2 linked regions of the Saccharomyces cerevisiae S288C genome follow. The gene in region 1 interacts genetically with each later gene. Each region holds a gene or a part of one and is shown in the gene's direction. Other genes may lie near its edges.

The links.
Region 2: mutations in LYS20 (region 1) and MDL2 together harm fitness more than expected from each alone (negative genetic interaction), as found in Saccharomyces cerevisiae (2 studies listed by BioGRID).

What each region holds. Positions count from the first base shown.
Region 1 is NC_001136.10:131,222-135,758, forward strand, and holds LYS20 (homocitrate synthase LYS20), read left to right. Parts: upstream 1-2,215; coding exon 2,216-3,502; downstream 3,503-4,537. Other genes in the region: MRX19 (Mrx19p), read right to left, coding at 1-612; INH1 (ATPase inhibitor), read left to right, coding at 3,958-4,215. UniProt on the Saccharomyces cerevisiae protein: Catalyzes the aldol-type condensation of 2-oxoglutarate with acetyl-CoA to yield homocitrate. Carries out the first step of the alpha-aminoadipate (AAA) lysine biosynthesis pathway.
Region 2 is NC_001148.4:28,816-32,883, forward strand, and holds MDL2 (ATP-binding cassette permease MDL2), read left to right. Parts: upstream 1-1,666; coding exon 1,667-3,988; downstream 3,989-4,068. Other genes in the region: ATP15 (F1F0 ATP synthase subunit epsilon), read left to right, coding at 1,264-1,452.

The sequences.
Region 1 (4,537 bases):
AATTGTCAGCGGGAGACCTAAAAGGCAATATAAAGTCCATTTTTTGTGATAAATTAAGCCTTCTTGGTAGAGCTTTTTCATTTGTCTCAAGCACTCATCAGGGCTAGAAATTCCAGGGGGATAATACACGTGTAAGGGTTGAGTATCGACCTGTTCTGCCTTTACGGTATAATCTTTCAATGTGAGTCGAATCTCTTGGGTCTTATCTTTCTCTCCCTTAATTCTCTTCAATATATAGCTTTCACTTGGTATGGTTAACAGACTATTTTCTGACCAGGGTGTGCTATTTAACAGAGACTGCACCATGGACACTATTTTTTTATTATACGATTTAGGGGACTTTTTCAGTTTTCTCCAAAGCTTTGCTGATTTCTCAACGATCCACTTTTCTGCTTTTAATATTCTAGACTGACTATTAAAGAGATTATCGGTATGCTTATAGTAAATGAATGATTCTTTGTCCGTTATTGGTATCACAGTCACTTTAACAGGATCATGCAGATATTTTTGGAGTGAAGCCTTTTCAAGTTTTGTTGAATACGCCCTCATTCCGTAGAACAGTCGAGAAGTGGCAGTTATACTAGTTGGCGGTATAAATATTGAACGTATCATCTTTAATCTAAAATACACCGGATGAAGTTTTGGTATTGTGATAAAATGATTCTATCGATGAAGAGCAATGATATGGATACTGCTACGTTGAAAAGGAAAAATTTCATGGCTAACTAGTAACTGAAACTGTGCCAGATAGCACACCCTTTAGATACTATCTTGGCACAATGCCCGATGCTTACTCCCCGGCGGAGACAGCCGTCAAGTCCATCCATCCAAAAGTGGAGGAAAAACAAGAAAATAAAGCTATCGAACAAGGAGCGTTGAAGTAAGAAAAACAAACGAAGAACTGAATAAACACAGCCTGCTTCAAATTATGGAAGGAGCTGTTACACATGGTAATTTTCTTATTTTTTTTGATAGATGGTGGAAAGTGGTAGCGTGGAAGTTGCGGATTATCACGACGTTTTATGGGCTCTAAATCGGTATAAGCTCAACAAATGGTTGAGGGCCGAATAAACGAAAAATTATTAGACCATAATTGCTACCAGCTGAAAGATTATCTCATTATAATACGCTTGAAACCCTCTAAAATGTCATTCGTAGTTAAGTACACTTTTTTGATCTCTCCAAGGTTAGCCGCCCATATAAAAAACTCTAGGAACCAAATTTGGTATACTGCGTGCGCTTGAGATTCAGTTTTTGTGTAAATCGGTTGCTGCAAACTATTTATATTAATGTTACATCGATGCAAGATTTTAGCCATGTTCCTAGTTTCTTGTCTATGAGCGTTTACTCAACCGAGACTCTTGTTTGCTATTATCTCGATTCGACGAACAAACAGTTCCCTGGGTATTCGAACAAAGCACAGTTGGTGATTTTGTTTGAAACTACAGACGTGCTCTCTTTTACAAAATAAATTGTAGGAAGTGATCCGCACAGGCAGAGGGAATTACAGATCACGCTCCTCTCTTATGACTAATGCACTCAGCATTTTCTCTTCCTTATAAACTCCGTCCACAGTACCCGATCAGCTGGCTCATCGTTATTCTAAATTAACTGATGACTGATGTTACGTCTGCGTCAAATTCCGCCGGAATATTGCGTAGTTTTAGTAAGAAAAAAACAAATTCCGACGGGAACTCTCTGCAAGGAAGTTTAAGCGTGGGTTACTTTGCTAGGTTGAGAAAAAGAATTCTTTAGAGGATCACACGTAGTAAAAGAAAAAAAAGATCTCTTCGCGCCACTCCCGGTTTCTCTGTGGATACGGCGTTACTAGCGTTGCAAGTGGCAAAAAAATGAGTAATGTCACAATGGCCTGGCCTTGTCCCACTATCCCTTATTCATGGTTGAAAAATATGACCAAAATTGCTGGGGAATTTTCTCTTCGGTAGTGGACGACGACGACATTAGAGCAATAGGCAATAATTTAATTTGCGCTTTAGGTTCTTGCTGACGATGATGCGTGAGTAATATTATTACCAAGTTTTAAGGGCCTCATCGCTGGCCATTTTTTACACCTGCTTAAATACCCGATGATGATATATATAAATGATATTGGCTGCTTATCGATAAAGTGTATTTGATATGTTCCCGTTTAGTTTATTCTTGTTTCTTATCTACATAACAAACAAAGGAAGGACCCTGTATTGTTTTCCTAAAGATGACTGCTGCTAAACCAAATCCATATGCTGCCAAACCGGGCGACTATCTTTCTAATGTAAATAATTTCCAGTTAATCGATTCGACGCTGAGAGAAGGTGAACAATTTGCCAACGCATTCTTCGATACTGAAAAAAAGATCGAAATTGCTAGAGCCTTGGACGATTTCGGTGTGGACTACATCGAGTTAACCTCACCAGTAGCATCTGAACAATCAAGAAAGGACTGTGAAGCTATATGTAAACTAGGTTTAAAGGCCAAGATCCTTACACACATTCGTTGTCATATGGATGACGCCAAAGTCGCCGTAGAGACTGGTGTCGACGGTGTCGATGTCGTTATCGGCACCTCCAAATTTTTAAGACAATATTCCCACGGTAAGGATATGAACTACATCGCCAAGAGTGCTGTTGAAGTCATTGAATTTGTCAAATCCAAAGGTATTGAAATCAGATTTTCCTCTGAAGATTCCTTCAGAAGTGATCTCGTTGATCTTTTGAACATTTATAAAACCGTTGACAAGATCGGTGTAAATAGAGTCGGTATTGCCGACACAGTTGGATGTGCCAACCCAAGACAAGTATATGAACTGATCAGAACTTTGAAGAGTGTTGTTTCATGTGACATCGAATGCCATTTCCACAACGATACTGGTTGTGCCATTGCAAACGCCTACACTGCTTTGGAAGGTGGTGCCAGATTGATTGACGTCAGTGTACTGGGTATTGGTGAAAGAAACGGTATCACTCCTCTAGGTGGGCTCATGGCAAGAATGATTGTTGCCGCACCAGACTATGTCAAGTCCAAATACAAGTTGCACAAGATCAGAGACATTGAAAACCTGGTCGCTGATGCTGTGGAAGTTAACATTCCATTCAACAACCCTATCACCGGGTTCTGTGCATTCACACATAAAGCAGGTATCCATGCCAAGGCCATTTTGGCTAACCCATCTACCTACGAAATCTTGGACCCTCACGATTTCGGTATGAAGAGGTATATCCACTTCGCCAACAGACTAACTGGCTGGAACGCCATCAAAGCCAGAGTCGACCAGTTGAACTTGAACTTGACGGATGACCAAATCAAGGAAGTTACTGCTAAGATTAAGAAGCTGGGTGATGTCAGATCGCTGAATATCGATGATGTTGACTCTATCATCAAGAACTTCCACGCAGAGGTCAGCACTCCTCAAGTACTATCTGCAAAAAAGAACAAGAAGAATGACAGCGATGTACCGGAACTGGCCACCATCCCCGCCGCCAAGCGGACTAAGCCATCCGCCTAACGTTCCCAAACCATTACATTATGTTCTTTCACTTATTACATACGATATATAGCATCTACATCTACATATCTAAATGATGTTTTTTCCCATCTACTTTGTCCGATACGCATTAAAAGAAGAAGATTTACTCTCCCGTGATGCCGGGCCAATCAGACGCGCGCATTCGCGGCAGAATAAGGGGAGGCTGCTGCGGGTACCAAATATCCAGATATTCACAATTATGCCAATCAACTGTCTAGTTGCTGACACCCATCGTTTTCCACTGCAACGAGGTTTTGGGGCTAGAAAAGGCGTTAACAATCGTTAGAGAAGGAGGGGTTCATAACTTGACTTGTTGTATCTTGTTTAAAACTTTCTTTGAATTTGTTCGTGGTTGAATTTGTTTTTGCTATCCCAAAGGAGTGCATTTTACACGCATTACTACAGCACACTTTTATACAGTTCCACAATAGAATATGTTACCACGTTCAGCATTAGCACGCTCATTGCAATTACAGCGCGGTGTGGCCGCAAGGTTCTACTCTGAAGGTTCTACCGGCACCCCAAGAGGGTCAGGCTCAGAGGATTCGTTTGTTAAAAGGGAAAGGGCCACGGAAGACTTCTTCGTTAGGCAGCGTGAGAAGGAGCAACTACGCCATTTGAAAGAACAACTGGAAAAACAACGAAAGAAGATTGATTCTTTGGAAAATAAAATTGACTCGATGACCAAATAATCATGCGTTTCCGCAGAAGCTTTTTTTTTTTTTTTTTTAGAATATTCTTACTCTTTTATAGTCAAACAGCAGAAAAACTATATAATAATACATCACACTGAGCTTTTGCATTTTCGATAACTATCATTCTAGTTTTCCTCTGGTTTGAATTTTCCTCTTGTCTGTCTGACTAATGTCACTCATTATTTCCACTTCGCGCAAAGTTCGTCCCAATGCGGAAAGGCATAGAAAGATAGGAACAGTGTGGAACATGGAAAAGTTCCAAATAACGTCAATAGTCCATACTTAAGATACGAAATTTCAAAATTCCTTCTTTTTTGTT
Region 2 (4,068 bases), on another chromosome or scaffold:
ATTTTGCCATTTTTCGAGGTTGTGCTTCGCCCTATCCCTTGGAAAACATTTCTAATCATCTTAAATTCTGTGATTGAGAACGTTTTAACGTTATCTTAAACGTTTCCATAGAAGAACGAACGTGAAGGTTTGTAGCTCGTTAAAAGGCGATCTTGAATGATGTGAAGAAGTGTAAAAGGCTTAGGAAAGTTGCTTGTTGACCCGGTGTCGTTCAATATACTCCTATTACCCAAATGGCAGTTTCATAGAGTGATATTATTTCGTTGCCTTGTGTAAGTTAGAAGTACTTCTTGTCGATTGTGAATTCGGATAGCCGCTAGAACGCCAATCATTGCGGAGGTTTGCCATCGCATGGATACCATAGCCATCTGCACATTCTAATATAGATTATATTACTTTAGACCATGTCATTTCATAATCGTTGGTTTAAGCGGTGTTGTTTCCACAGTTTGTATGAGAACTTTTGTCCAAAGTAAAGTATCAGTAACGTAATCTGAGCAAACCTACATTAAATCGTAACTCCGCGAGATTCTTTTGTTCAGGTGGATCAGCGGCGTGGTTTACTTCCGATTTGCTCATCGTGCGCATAGCAGCATTTATTCCTCTAATTCGCTCGATAATCAACCTTTCCGCACTACGACGGTGGCAATAGTTGGACCTTAAGATATGCCTATCTGAATACAATTCTTCAACTCACATCAGTGGGACACTAAATAAAGCATATGGTATGAAATACTATGAATTATTGAATTATTGGCAGACACAGCAGCGACAAGTCAGAGTGCTTACAAAAAAAAAAGAGTTGATCCGGCTAAAGAAAGTCTGATTTACGTATTTATCCAGGTTCAAACGGATTGCCAAAAATAGTCGATAACCTCGGAGTAAGCAAAGCAACAATATATTTGTTCTTCGAAAAGGTAAACTTCTTAACTTCTATAGAAGCATTGTACTAGTTCTCTCGAAGAAAAAAACTAAGAAAGCTATAGCTGTATCTTACCAAGCCATGAACTTGAGGAATTGGTAATCCTTATTAGGAAATACGCTAAACTAGGTAATAGCAGATGATTTACTAGCTTACTATCTCACACTAAGTCTGGCAACGCGCTTATTTTTTAATACTTTTATACGAACCAATGAAATTTGATCCTCCCCTTTTTCGTCTAGTTAAATGAAGAGATACAAGTAGGCCTTTCTATTGAGTACTTAGCAAGATATGTATTTCTAAGAAACATCAACAGTTTCAGCCCACAACCGATTCATAAAATGTCTGCCTGGAGGAAAGCTGGTATATCATATGCTGCATATTTGAATGTGGCCGCTCAGGCTATCCGTTCTTCATTGAAAACTGAATTACAAACCGCTAGTGTTCTTAACAGATCGCAAACAGATGCTTTTTATACCCAATATAAAAATGGCACTGCAGCTTCTGAACCCACTCCAATAACAAAATAGTTTAACGCTTCCTGGGAACTGCAGCTCTTTTTTTACTCGCTGATATACATTTTAAATATTCTAGCAACTGTGTATGAAAACTTACGTACTTTTATACGGGAAACTAATAATGACTACAATGATATTGAATACTGGCCGCTTCGAAGAGTGGTATAAAGTTTGTATCATTGCATTAAAAGAAAAAGAAATATATGTCCCATCATCGCCAATCGCAATGTTGAATGGTCGTTTACCACTTTTGCGGCTGGGCATATGCAGAAACATGCTGTCCCGTCCCCGACTGGCTAAACTGCCATCTATAAGGTTTCGGTCTTTGGTCACCCCTTCTTCATCGCAGCTCATTCCTCTCAGTCGGTTGTGTTTAAGGTCACCTGCAGTTGGAAAATCACTAATTTTACAAAGTTTTAGATGTAATTCATCCAAAACAGTTCCAGAAACTTCTCTGCCTTCAGCCTCTCCCATATCTAAAGGATCAGCAAGGTCGGCACATGCAAAGGAGCAATCTAAAACTGATGACTATAAAGATATAATAAGGTTATTTATGTTGGCGAAACGGGATTGGAAACTGCTTCTTACAGCCATACTTCTTTTAACCATATCATGTTCCATAGGCATGTCTATTCCTAAAGTCATAGGTATTGTCCTTGACACACTTAAGACGTCATCTGGATCAGATTTTTTTGATTTGAAGATACCGATTTTTTCTTTGCCTTTATATGAGTTTCTTTCCTTTTTTACTGTTGCTTTACTGATTGGTTGTGCTGCTAATTTTGGTAGATTTATATTATTGAGGATACTAAGTGAGCGTGTTGTTGCACGCCTAAGGGCAAATGTCATTAAAAAAACGCTTCATCAAGACGCAGAATTCTTCGACAACCATAAAGTTGGGGATTTAATTTCTCGTTTAGGATCTGATGCTTATGTTGTTTCAAGATCAATGACCCAGAAGGTCTCGGATGGGGTCAAAGCCCTAATTTGTGGGGTTGTTGGCGTGGGGATGATGTGTTCTTTGTCACCTCAACTATCAATATTGTTACTATTCTTCACTCCACCTGTTCTTTTTAGTGCCTCAGTGTTCGGGAAGCAAATTAGAAACACCTCTAAAGACCTTCAAGAAGCTACTGGTCAATTGACTAGAGTCGCTGAAGAACAACTCTCTGGTATCAAGACGGTTCAGTCGTTTGTTGCTGAAGGTAATGAATTGTCTAGGTATAACGTTGCAATTAGAGATATTTTTCAGGTGGGAAAAACTGCGGCATTTACAAACGCAAAGTTTTTTACTACAACTAGTCTCTTAGGTGACCTAAGTTTTTTAACCGTCCTTGCGTATGGCTCCTATCTTGTTTTACAATCACAGCTCTCCATTGGTGATCTGACTGCATTTATGCTGTACACAGAATATACGGGGAATGCGGTATTCGGCCTTTCTACCTTCTATTCGGAAATTATGCAGGGTGCTGGGGCCGCTTCCAGGTTGTTTGAATTAACAGATAGGAAACCTTCCATTTCACCGACTGTGGGACACAAGTATAAACCAGATCGTGGTGTTATCGAATTTAAAGATGTTTCATTTAGCTACCCTACAAGGCCTTCTGTTCAAATATTCAAGAATTTAAATTTTAAAATTGCGCCAGGATCGAGTGTTTGTATTGTGGGCCCTTCAGGTCGTGGTAAATCTACAATTGCACTCTTACTGCTAAGATATTATAATCCCACTACTGGGACTATTACGATAGATAACCAAGATATCTCTAAATTGAATTGTAAATCCCTAAGAAGGCATATTGGTATCGTTCAGCAAGAGCCGGTACTGATGTCAGGTACTATTAGGGATAATATCACTTATGGGTTGACATATACCCCAACAAAGGAAGAAATCAGGTCAGTAGCAAAGCAGTGCTTTTGCCATAACTTTATCACAAAATTTCCGAACACATACGATACGGTAATTGGTCCTCACGGCACCTTACTAAGTGGAGGACAAAAGCAGCGTATTGCGATTGCAAGGGCTCTAATCAAAAAGCCAACTATTTTGATTCTTGATGAAGCTACATCAGCTTTAGATGTTGAAAGTGAAGGAGCCATTAACTATACGTTTGGTCAACTAATGAAATCAAAATCGATGACTATTGTTAGCATCGCGCACAGGCTAAGTACGATCAGAAGATCAGAGAATGTTATTGTCCTTGGCCATGATGGATCAGTGGTAGAAATGGGCAAATTCAAAGAATTGTATGCGAATCCAACAAGTGCTTTATCGCAATTACTTAATGAGAAAGCGGCTCCTGGGCCATCTGACCAACAACTGCAAATAGAGAAGGTCATCGAAAAGGAAGATTTGAATGAGAGTAAGGAGCATGATGACCAGAAAAAGGACGATAATGACGATAATGATAATAATCATGATAACGACAGCAATAACCAGTCTCCAGAGACGAAAGACAATAATTCAGATGATATTGAAAAATCTGTCGAACATCTCCTGAAAGACGCGGCAAAGGAGGCTAATCCAATTAAGATCACACCACAACCGTGAGTCATCCGCATCGCATATACCCATTCTTATCTCGCACATTTAAATATATACTATATATAATACTGTTAAATGCCAAATAA